Caenorhabditis elegans: one gene and its partner. The protein of the gene in region 1 purifies or fractionates together with the protein of each later gene. This does not show direct contact. Each region holds a gene or a part of one and is shown on either strand. Other genes may lie near its edges.

The links. The genes of interacting proteins can lie anywhere in the genome.
Region 2: the proteins of toca-1 (region 1) and wve-1 purify together in Caenorhabditis elegans (affinity purification with western blotting, with the first as the bait; one study listed by BioGRID). This does not show direct contact.

Annotation. Positions count from the first base shown.
Region 1 is NC_003284.9:1,518,471-1,523,308, reverse strand, and holds the start of toca-1 (Transducer of Cdc42-dependent actin assembly protein 1 homolog), read left to right. Parts: upstream 1-1,821; 5' UTR 1,822-1,914; coding exon 1,915-1,947; intron 1,948-4,838. UniProt on the Caenorhabditis elegans protein: Plays a role in protein trafficking, actin organization and embryonic morphogenesis. Potentially acts as a cdc-42 effector. May play a role in hypodermal P-cell nuclear positioning.
Region 2 is NC_003279.8:11,924,041-11,931,397, forward strand, and holds wve-1 (Wiskott-Aldrich syndrome protein family member), read right to left. Parts: upstream 5,477-7,357; 5' UTR 5,468-5,476; coding exon 5,331-5,467; intron 5,282-5,330; coding exon 4,678-5,281; intron 3,408-4,677; coding exon 3,081-3,407; intron 1,744-3,080; coding exon 1,666-1,743; intron 1,496-1,665; coding exon 1,235-1,495; 3' UTR 501-1,234; downstream 1-500. Other genes in the region: R06C1.4 (RRM domain-containing protein), read left to right, coding at 6,767-6,794, 7,294-7,357.

The DNA of each region.
Region 1 (4,838 bases):
AATTTTTCGAATTTTACCCCCTTGTCACCGATTCTCAGTCCCAATGTCACCTTGTCTTAGGTGTACTACCTTTCATTACTAACTTCCGAATACATTTTCTTCGCCTCCTTTTCCCCATTCTTCTTTTTTTTCTACTCAACCTTCCGAGACACGACTACCTATGTGTTGTCGTCGATTTGGCGGGTCACTTGAACTTTTGCGTTTGGCCATGGAAAGATTGGCGAGGCAGGAGGGGGGACAAAAGGAGGCCTGTTTTGCATATTACCTTGAGAAACGTCGGGTACGACAAGCATAGCATTTTTTGGGTAGTTTTTTCTGAGAGTGATTGTAGGGCTTTTTTGGAAGTCCTTTGAAACCAGTATATATATATATATTTTAGTCAGCTTTAGGTTTTTTTTTTTTTTTTTCGGGCCAAGGCAGATGGTGAAGTTAAGGCTAAAATATATGTCAGGGCCAAAAAGTGGAGACCCAGAAAGTTGAGCCTTCAAAAACTAAGCCATTTAGGCTAACTTTTACTTTCTTTATTTAGGCATTTAGGCGGTTGAGCCCTTGAAAGCCGCATCTCCATTTTTTCCGCTCCTTGAGGTTAGGCTTATTTTAAAATCCTTGAGGTCAGGCTTATCATCCTTCAAAGTTTGAGACCAAGAAGGTTAAGCCCCGTAGTTGAAGGATAATTCTGAGCCCACGAACGCCAAGCCCCAAAGAAGCCCAAAGTAATGGCTGGGCACCTGAAGTCTAAGCCTTTAGGCTGCGCTCTTAGCTTAATGCCCTTCTTCAAAAACTGAGTCCCTCGGTACAGACTAAGCTTTTAGGTTACCCTTTAGCTTTTAGGCAAGCTCGGGCCTAATTTCAGGCTTAGCTTCAGACTCAAAATTACGAGATTTCCCTCAACGTAATTCGAAAAAAATTGATTAGACTAGGTATCTCGCGCCGTGCGTATTGTTGTAAACTCTTCATTTTTCGCTCATCAATATCTCCGAAAACCCCGGGACCCCGAGGTCTATCCTAGATAGCAAGATACGCAGACGCACACATGTGTATACATATGCTATTGGGCGAGAAATAGCGTCTCTTCTTTTTCTTCTTCTCTTGGGAGCTACTTTTCGAGGTCCGAGCTGCTGCAGCTCGAGCTGGGTGCTCGAGCTGACCGCGGACCCCACTTCTCGTGACCGCCTATCTTGTTTTTTTCTGTGTTGCTGTTCTCGGATAAATTTGGGATTGGAATGTTTCTTTGGGGTCTAGCCTGTTTCAACGGAAATAAGTGAAAAATTGTTTGCTGATTTTCTTAATTTTTTCACTATTTGCTGATGCTATTTTTGTAAATTCGGTAGCTGAAAATTTCTGGTACCTGGTAACCGTGAACTATACCATATGGAAAAGTTTGAAAATTGGAGGTTTTAGGCCATTTTCGGCTATTAAACTTTTTCCGATTTTTCGAATAATCTAGCACGTTTTAGCGAAATGTTTTTTTTTTGATTAAGCTTGATTTTTTCTATTAATTTCTCAATTTTGCAATAATTTTCTCCACCTTTTTTCAACCTCCCATAGCACTCCAAATACTCTGCTCTTCCACAAAAAATTTACCCCCCCCTCCTGAGCCCCCACAATTATACCTATGCTTCCTTCCGCCTCCCGGTGCCATGAGCACCAACCACAAATTGCTCTCCATTTTTGCTCCACGACACGCCCAACCGTCAACAGCTTAGATTACTGTTTTTGTTCCTATTTACGAACTAAAGTTTTCAATTTTTTTCTCCTTCTCGTTTGTTCGGATCTTTTTTGTGCTGCTCATTGCTGTTAACGTTTTGAGTTTTTTTTCAGACTTCAACTCGAAAAAGTTCCAATTAGTGTTCATAAAAAGAAGGAATCGAGATTGGATTGGATGGTAACAACCTTTTGAAGAAGCGGCGAACAATGAACGACAGTTGCAGTTGGGACCAGCTATGGGTAAGTTTTTATTGAATCCTTGGTAAAAACTAAAATTTAAAATAAGAAAACAGGCTACTAAAATGAAAAAACCGCGGGTCTAAAAAAATGGCCAAAATCACCAAATGTTGAGCTGAATTTTTTACGATTCTAAACCGTGAATCCTCCTTTTTTCCTAGTTCAACATTTCAAAAAATCTACTGATTAAAAGTATGTACATATGTGCCTAAAATTGTAATGTTATGCACTTCACACTGTGAAAAGGTTAGAAGGTTTCCACCAAAATGAGAAAAATGGCACGAAACTTCAGATTTTCAAAATTGGGCGCTGCTTCAAATTGCTGAACTTTTAAAAAATATGTCAAAGTTCCAAGATACCAGGATTATGCCTAATTTGGAAAAAATTGGAAATATAAAATTTTTCCAAATTCTGTTACAGCTCTAAAGCACCCACGCCACGAATTTCCAGAACCTAGAATTTTTCGAGACCGCCGCAGTTTCAAAACTCCAAAATTTGACGAAATTCCGGGCCCAACCACTTTAAGGATTATTTTCTGGGAATATGCAAAAATAGGGATTTCAATTGATATCATGGCAAGACGTCCGCAGGGTTTTGCGCCGCACTATATTTTATTTGCAATTGCCTGGGTGGGGCGCGAAACCCGTTAGATGTCGGACCATAATATCATTTGTATCGATATTGGGGTACTGATACTGGCATGATCACAGATGGGCGGTCCCGATACTTTTTGAAATTCGGTAAAATTCCGAAATTTCTAAAGTTCGGATGAATTTGAAATTTGGCGTTTGCCAACTTCTAGTGCAATTTTATAGTTTCGATGTGGAAAATCCTTGGATTTTTCTCAAATTTTTAATAAAATCTAATGATCCCCCCCCTCCCCCCCACCAAACATTTCTACTCGTTCCTACATACATTTTCGCATATCACATATACCTTCTCGTCTCCCGCATACATAATTTAGTAGTTGTAAGCAAGATCGGGGGGTGGCGGGCGATCACAAAGTAACGGCGGAAGCGGCTCACCCACCCTCCGAACACACTTGAATTAGTCATTTGTTGCTAATGTAGAGGTGGATACTAATAAGGAGTGGCGGGAGGTGTATAGAGAGAGTGAAAGAGAGAGAGAGAGAGAGAGAGAGAGACGCAGAATTAAAAAACAGGGTTACCTAGTGGGTTTGCTGGGCGCACGTTAGTATGTTTTGGTAAATGCGCTCTAATTTTAAAATTCAAAAATGGAGTGGAAATTTCTATAATATATTTTAAAAACATTTTTTTTTATTAAATTGGTCCGTTCACACTGATTATGCCTACTTTTTTAAGACGTTGTATTTTTAAAAATTGATTTCAAAAAAATTAATTTTCTACTCTCTCTCAAAAACTTCTCTTAAAAACTACAAAATCCGATTTTTTTTTCGCCAAAGTTTCTTATCAGTTTACAGAAAAATTGTGAACATTTCAGAAATGCCAGTATGACACATCTTTTTGAACATATCAGTTTGTGCTTGAATTTGATTCAGAAAAACAGCAAAATTTTTTTTCTTTCAAATTTTCCCAATACTTCAGCCAGTTTTTTGTCGTTTATAACAGTAATCTACCGCAGAGATACAAGCTTATAGAACTTAAAGCCGAGAGAGTGTGGGACGAGGGGAGAGTGCAGACTGTCTTCAATTTCTAGTGCTCAAAATTTGAGAGCATGTAACTTGAGAAATGAATTCTGAAAATTGGATTTTCTATCGATTTACTCTTTAAATTTTCAATTAGGGCTCCCATGTGGGTGCCGCAAACGCCGCCCTCACGCCGGGATCCGAAATCTTAATAGCAATGCGCGAAACCCAAAAAATGTCGGATCGCGGCGCCTACATGGGAGCCCTGGTTTTAATATAATAATGGTTCCGAACAGTTTTATTAATAAAATTGCACAAACTTTCTGATCGTCGGTTCTCCGCTCTTTCCTTATCGTTCACTTCTCGCCAATTTAATAGGCAAAAGCGGTAGTTGGGGAAGGGCGGAAAGCGCAAATAAACACAGCTTCACTCTCTTTTTCTCCCTTTTTCGGCACCAAAATCGTACTTTCTGTGATTGTATTTGTGTTTAGCAGGGAATTATCAATAAGATTAGAAGGTTTTTTAAAAAGAAAATTTTTTGTGGGGTCCCTGTAACCTTGGATGTAATTTTATAACATGGTGCATCGACTGAAAACTACACTAGCAATTTTTAAGTTTACGGTTGAAACTTGTCACTTTTACATACATATTAAGGGTTATCAGTATATTATTCATTCAAAATTTGTGCTAGTAAAGTGAAATTTTTTCTCTGTTTGAAAAAATATGATAAAATGCCAAAAAGAACGTCATTTCCTATGACAAATTTTGTCCGATGCACCATGTTCAAAAAATTTCTTTGGCTCTCACATATTTTTCAGGTTTTACCGCCAAACTTATCGGACTTTTCCAGTCGATGCACCATGTTCGGATTTATTTTTCTAGACAAAATTATTGCTGCTCCTTCAAAAAATATCGATTTTTTTACCTGATGCACCATGTTCAAGTTTTCTGAGAAAAATTTCTGTAATAGTCGAAAAGTTACCGAGAACATTTCAAAACGAAAATGTCATTCTGCTTCCGTTCCCCATTCCCCCCTACTTCTTCAGCCTTACTGTCAATCCATTTCAATTCTACAACCATTTTTCTTCATCTCCCCTCATTTTCCCTTCCTCCTCCCCCTTCTAACTTCTTCTTCTTCTTCTAGTCGCGTCGTCAATCGGTGTTGGGGTCGACAATTCATTGTATATGTAGATCACATTGCATTCGGATTGCGCCCTTCCGTCCTGGCGATAGTTTCTAGGACGCCGCGCCTTGGACACTCACCGCACCTTTTTTCTGCAAAGTTTGA
Region 2 (7,357 bases), on another chromosome or scaffold:
AATTTCGAATTTTTCAGCTGAAAACTGAGCTAAAATGAGCCAAAAAACACGATTTTCAATTGAAATTTCGAGAAAAAAAAAGCTAAAAATTGAATTTTCGAATAATTTGGGAATTTTGGAGCTCCGATGCGTAGAAAACAAATTTTTGCATGAAAAATTGCAATTTTCTGCGAAAAATCAAGAGTTTTCCAGGAAATATGTCCAAATTCCGCTGAAAATTTAAATATTTTCGTAAATTCGAGAGAAATGATGCAAATTTCATAAAAATGTGCTCCAAATTGGAAATTTCACGTTTTTTTTCCGGAAAAATCGATTTTTCACCAAAAATTGAAAATTTTAAGCGAAAATTGAAGTTTTCCTACATTTCAAAGGTTTAAATTGATTTAAATTGAAAAAAAATCGAATAAAAATTGGAAAAACTGATGAATCATAAAATTGCGAAATAATAATGAGGGGGCAGGCGACCACTTGGAAATTTAAATTTACAATTCTGGAGGGGCAAAAAATGAGAAAAATCAGTTCATTTGAAACAGGAAAGCGGAAAAAATTTTAAAAATTTTTGAATAAATAAATTAAAGCAAGGCAGTATTTACACAAGAAAATTCGAAAAAGTGTGCGTCGATTTACGCAGCTCGTGTAGTCCCCGAGGAGAAGATTTTACAGTTTTTTGGCTTAAAAATGCTTGATTTTCGCTATTTTTCTATCAAAATTAACATTTAAACCGGTTATTTATAGCGTTTTAAGTGAAATTTGAGCGATTTTAAAGTTTTCACCGACAAAAAAAAACCGTGAAAATAGCGAAAATGGCTCAAAATCAACCATTTTAGCAAAAAAAAGTACTTGATTTTGAGCCATTTTCGCAATGTTCACGGTTTTTTTTTTGGCAAAAATCAATGAATTATTTTTATTTTTAACTTTAAAAACACTCAGATTTCACTTAAAAGTGCATAAATAACCGCTTTGAATGTTAATTTTCAAGTAAAAATAGCGAAAATCAAGAATTTCAGCGAAAAATCGTTTTTTTTTTCACCGAAAAAATCAGTAAAAATGCAAAAATGGGTAATAATGCTTGATTTAGAGCTATTTTCACGGGTTTTTCGCTTAAAAATCACCGCTTTGAATGTTAATTTTCAAGGAAAAAATAGCGAAAATCAAGCATTTTTAGCCAAAATCTGTAGAATCTTCTCCTCGAGGAGTACACGAGATCTGCGTAAATCGACACAAAAGAGAGCAATTAATCATCCCATTCATCATCATCAGCTCCTTCTTCACTACTTGAATCATCATTTCCCATAACTTGATCCATTCGTCTCTTCAATATCGCCGCAACATTATTCGCCTCGAGAGCAGCATTCTCGGCGGCTTCTGCCTCGGCTCTTTGCACTTTTTTCAGCTTTATTCCAGATTGAATTTGAGCCAAAAGATCACTTCGAGCATCTGGTTGTTTTGGAGCAACTGGGGAATTTGTGCCAGCAGCTTCACCGTCCGCGGATGGCTGAAAATTTCAGTTTTAGTGGGAGAAAATCGATTTTTTGATGAAAATTCGGCTATTTCTCTTGAAATTTGTCCCTAAAAAAGCTTCAAAAAAGTCCAAAAAACACAGGAAAACTACACATTTTCAGCGGGTTAGACACACATAGAGCCCTGCTGTTCCAGCGCCTTTACCTTTGGAGCCGGAGCTGCAAATGACGCTGCAGCCGAGCTTATAACCATTGGAGGTGGTGGTGGAGGTGGTGGAGGGATCTGAAAGGGATCGAGAATTGAAGAAAGAAGCGGAAAGTGGACAACAATGAGGGAAACACAAAAATGGACAAAAATTGCAAATTTTTAACTGAAAAATTCGGGGTTTTAAGCTTGGAAATTGCAGAAATATAGCTTCAAATTAATTTTATGCACTACAAGAAATCTTGGAGCTTTTCACAAATTTCCAAGCTTTTCCAAGCTGTTTCAAGCTTTTTAAGCTCATCGAAGATATTTCAAGCTCAGTCAGGCTTTTTTAGCTTTTCCAGGCTTTCGCAAGCTTTTTCGAGCTCGTCTAAGCTTTTTGACGCCTTTTCCAAGCTCTTTCAGGCTTTACAAGCTGTTTCAAGCTCGCACGAGCATTTTGAAGTTTTTCCAGGCTTTTTTAAGCTCTGTAAGCTTTTCGAAGCCACTATCGTTCTCTTTCAAGCTGTTTCAAGCTGTTTAAGCTCATCGAAGCTATTTCAAGCTCAGTCAGGCTTTTTCAAGCTTTGTCAAGCTTGTTCAAGCTCCTCCAAGCTTTTTCAAGGCGTTTCCAAGCTTTTTCAGGCTTTTCCCAACTCTTTCAGGCTTGCTCAAGCTTGGTCAAGCTTGTTCAAGCTCCTCCAAGCTTTTCCAGGTTTTTCCAGGCTTTTTCAAACTATTATAAGCTCGTTAAGCTCATTCAAGCTATTTCAAGCTCTGTCAGGCTTTTCCAAGCCTTTTCAAGCTATTACAAGTTCGTTTAAGCTCTACAAGCTTTTCCAGGCTTTTTCTTGCTCTTTCAAGCTTTTCCAAGCTTGTTCAAGCTTTCTTAAGCGTTTTGGAATCTTTTCCTGTCTTTTGCAGGCCTTTTCAAGCCTTTTCCAGGGTTTTCCAAACGTTTTCAAGCCATTTCAAGGTTCTCCAAGCTTGTTCACTATTTTTTCAAGCTCTTTAAGCTTCTCCAAGCTAGTTCAAGCTCTGTCAGGCTTTCCAAACTTGTTCAAGCTTTATCGTTCTCTTTCAAGTTCTTCCAAGCTAGTTCAAGCTCTGTCAGGCTTTTCCAAGCTTTTCCAAACGGTTTCAAGCCGTTTCAAGCCTTTCTAATAGAGTTCAACCAATTTTTCGTGATTTCGTGGCCCAAATGAACAAATTAAAGCGAAAAAGCGAGATTTTGCCTGAAAAAGGCTTAAGGCTTCTAAACGCTCATAATAACTTAGAATAATAGAGACTTTTCACATTTTCTAGTTTTTTCAAGCTTTTCCAAGCTTTTTCGTCGTGAAAACGGACAATTTAAAGCAAAAACGCAAGCTTTTTTCCTCGCAAAAACCAAGATTTTACTCCAAAATCTCCAAATTCTCTCGAGCTCCAAAACGTACATTAGTCGGCGGAGCAGCACTCGGCTCGACAAACTGTATCGTCGACGGAGCTTCTGCTGGTAACTGATGTACAATTGATGTATTCATGAGAAGCGGTGGTGGTGGTGGTGGAAGATCATCATCATCATCATCAATCGATAAAATTGACATATCCGGTGGTGGGAGGTGATCCAGATTCACTGGCGGCGGAGCTTCAGTCGGACGTTTAACATTCGGAGATCCACGAGCTGCTGCTGGAGCACCACCTCGTTGTTGGCTCGGATGCACATTTTGTTGAGGATGATGGTGCATTGTCATTCCGATTGGGGCAACCATGTTGGAGGGGTGCTGAATTTATCAAAAATTGGGAGATTTTCAGTGGAAAAAATCGTTTTTTTCTTCAAAATTACTCCCAGAGAAGGATATTTGGGCTTAATTATCGATTTTTCAGAGTTTTTTTGTCATTTGGAGCATGAAATTTCTTAAAAATTCACTGAAAACTTCCAAAAAACTCGAGTTTTCAGCCTCAAAGACAAGCCAAAATCAATGAAAAACGTTTTTCAACAGAAATGTTTCACTTTTTCACTAAAAATATGCTGAAATTGATAAGTTTTTTTGGAAAAATCCCTAGAAACCGTACAAATTAATTATAAAAACCCTATAAAATCGAATTTTTCAACGAAATCCTCTAGAATCCATAACTTTTCAGCTTCAAAATTATTTGTTCCCATTGAAACTTTCGACTTTATAGGATTTTTATAGTTAATTTGTAGGGTTTCTAGCGATTTTTCCAAAAAAAAAATTATCAATTTTCGCATATTTTTAATGAAAAAGTGGCACTTTTCTGTTGAAAAATTATTTTTTCTAAGGAATTTCCCACTAATTTCATTGATTTTCGCTTGTTTTTCGGTGAAAACTCGGCTTTTTGGAAGTTTCTAGTGAATTTTTATGAAATTTCAAGCCCCAAATGGCTAAAAAACCCAAATATTGGCCCAAAATAGAGAATTTTTGCCTTCTCGGGGAGCACAAGAGCTGTGTAAGCGCTGAAATCTCGTTGAAAAGTTGATTTTCTTTTTAAACAATAGAAAATTCACTTTTTCAGCAAAAAACTCGATTTTTTTTCAAATTTTTGGGCTCAATTATCGATTTTTTCCGATTTTCAACGGTAAAAAATCATTTGAAGCGGAAAAGCTGGGACTTCGTTGAAAAATTCGATTTCATAGTTTTTTTGAAGTTAATTTGTAGGGTTTCTAGCGATTTTTCCAAAAACTTATCAATCTTCGCAGATTTTAATGAAAAAGTGACTTTTTCTCATTGATTTTGGCTTGTTTTTTGGCGAAAAAGTGCATTTTTAGGAAATTTCATGCTCCAAATTACTGGAAACCCATAATTTTGCCCCAAAATAGAACATTTTGGCCTGCTCGGGGAGCACAAGAGCTGTGTAAGCGCTGAAATCTCGTTGAAAAGTTGATTTTCTTTTTAAACAATAGAAAATTCACTTTTTCAGCAAAAAACTCGATTTTTTTCAAATTTTTGGGCTCAATTATCGATTTTTTCCGATTTTCAACGGTTTGGAGATTTTCTCTTCAAAAAATCGAAAAATCTCGCGAAAATCTACCTGATTTTTAAAGTTAAGCTGAAGCCCGAGAGCCTGCGGAGCCTGATATTCCTCCGGGAACGAGAAAACTTCATTCTGCTGATTAATCCGTGATCCACTAATCTGTCGATTCCTATGCTGCATATCATTATAGGCCGTCGTGCCGAGAGGGCCTTGTCCAGGCTGCTTCCGCCGCTTTTTCGGGCTTTTACTCCCGTCGTTCGGGCTTTTTACCCGTCTGGGCCGTTCGGCAACCTCTTTTAGTGTCTCCTTTTTCCATAAATCGAAGAAAAACGAGGGATTTGTGTAGAGAGAGAGCGCAGGGATTTCAGAGTCTCTATACGGATTTAGAGCATCAAGATCCGGCGGTGGATCACATTTTGCATATATTTCAGTCAATGCTGTAGGTAAAGTGCTTCTATCCAGAATATGTTGATCTACAAGCATTGAACTTTTGAATGCTTTTCGCATATTCGCTTCATTCAACGTTGCTTGATCGGAATTTGAATCCAAATCTTCAACTTTCTTGTGCAATCTATCAATTCTCTGTTGAAGAGTGTTCGATTTGTGATTTATTATCATTGCGTCGTGATAAATCTCTCCGAAGATGTTCTCAGCGTGCTTACTGCAAAAAAAAATCGATAAAATTCCAGTTTTCCGACCTAATTTCCCACCTCAACGAGCTCAATTGTCGTACTAAATTGGCGATTGTCCCATTAGCAGTACATTGAAGCTCATCACGATGGATTGTTGATGGAATTGTGCCTCTGCTGAGGTTTACCGGTGATACCGCCCGTTTTGTTAGAGGCATTGCTGAAAATGTGCAGAAATTGCGGGATTATGTGGGTGGAAATTGCGAGAAAGCGTTAGAATTCACAGAAGATGACTTGAAATCGAAAAAAAATCACTTTCTTCCCTGAATAATATGTAAAAATCCATGGATTTAATGGAAATTGGCACGAAAATCGTGAAAAAAATTAGTTAAACATAAAAATTCACTGGAAACTTCATAAAAGCGAGCAGCCAAAATCAATGAAATTAGTTGGAAAATTCCACGAAAAACTCTAATGTTAATGGTAAACACGAAAATGCACTGGAAAAATTATAAAATTGAGTTTTTTAAACAGAAAAGCCACTTTTTTAATAAAATTATGCTGAAATTGGTAACTTTACCGGGAAAAATCGCTAGAAAACATATAAAATTGCTTCATTTACATGCTAAACCCACAAATTCACTGAAAAACTTATAAAACCTAATTTTCCAACGAAATATCATAAAATACATAGTTTTTCAGCTTCAAAATTATTATTTCTGTCAGAAAATGTTTTTTTTCATCGGAAAAACTGCAAAAAACGAGGAAAAACCAATAAAATCTCATGTTTTTCAATTAAAATATCATTAATCCAGAAATGCGCCAAGGTGCACCCGGGATGCGTCAGCAAACACTCACGAGAAGTGCGCAAGCGAGCGTCTGCACTCTCTCGAATACATACAGTGTCTCGCTGTGATTCATCGGAAATATTTTCATTTCCGGAAATGTTTTATATTTATTTAAATATTAATTTTTTTCGGTCTAAAAAATGATATACAAAACAAAAAATCGATACAGGAAAATGCGAAAATAGAATGAGATTGAAATTTCAATATTTACTGTTCAAAATATTCAAAATATCGTGAAATGGCGAGGTTTCGGAGAGATGGTCCTTTTTATTTATCAATGAAATTGTTCTAATTCTGAGAAAAATAACAAAATATAGCTAAATTCTCAATTTTCGCCAACTTGGTTGTGTCACAGAAGCTAAAATTCATTTCGAATACCGAGCCCGTACAGTAGTCATTTAAAGAATTACTGTAGTTTTCGCTACGAGGTATATTTCGCGTCAAATTTGTTACGTAATAAGCATTTCACTTTCCCAACAATTGCCGATTTCTTCTCCAAAATATCCCTCCCGTAAACCTACACAAAATCGACCGTAGTGCGGCACGTTCGCTGCGAGACCCGCCGCGCGTTTGGCCTCAATCTTTTTAGGACTGCCAAATTCGATCGAACATTTTTAGTCTGTCTTCCACGCGGAAACACACTCGTTTTTCTTCAAAAAAAAATCTATCATGGCTTCCCAAGGATTCTCCGTCTACGGTAAGTATAGTAATAAATCGGTGGTGAAAATTAAATTTAAATTTGTACAAATTTTGAATATGATACAAAATTCTCAAAACTTCTGAAACTTTCTCACACTTTTCTTCGATGAACTTTTCTTCGACTTGCAGAAAGTATCGATTTCTGATAATTGTTAGCGTTTTCCGATCGGCCTTCGTTCTCTATGGTTCATTCGTGTTCCTTGACAACAAATCCCGATATTTCAGGTAGTCCCCTTCCACGTGTATAAGTATAACTGAGTCTACTAACTGAGTACCCGGGACCCCACACGGATCGCCACACAATTCTGGAAATGGAGACGCCGTTCGACCACAAAAAGTATGGGTGAAGAGACTTTTCGCACTGTCATGGTCTCCGTAGTCTAGGACTAGGATAGGGTGCATTTGCTCTGTAACAGTGCATTGTGAGAGTTTGTAACTTTCTATATATAGGCCAAAACCTACTATTACCCCCGTTTTGCTAATCGATTTTTTTCTAGTTGGAAACGTTCCATACCAAGGAACTGAGGAGGAGATCGGAAACTACTTCGCCGCCGTCGGACA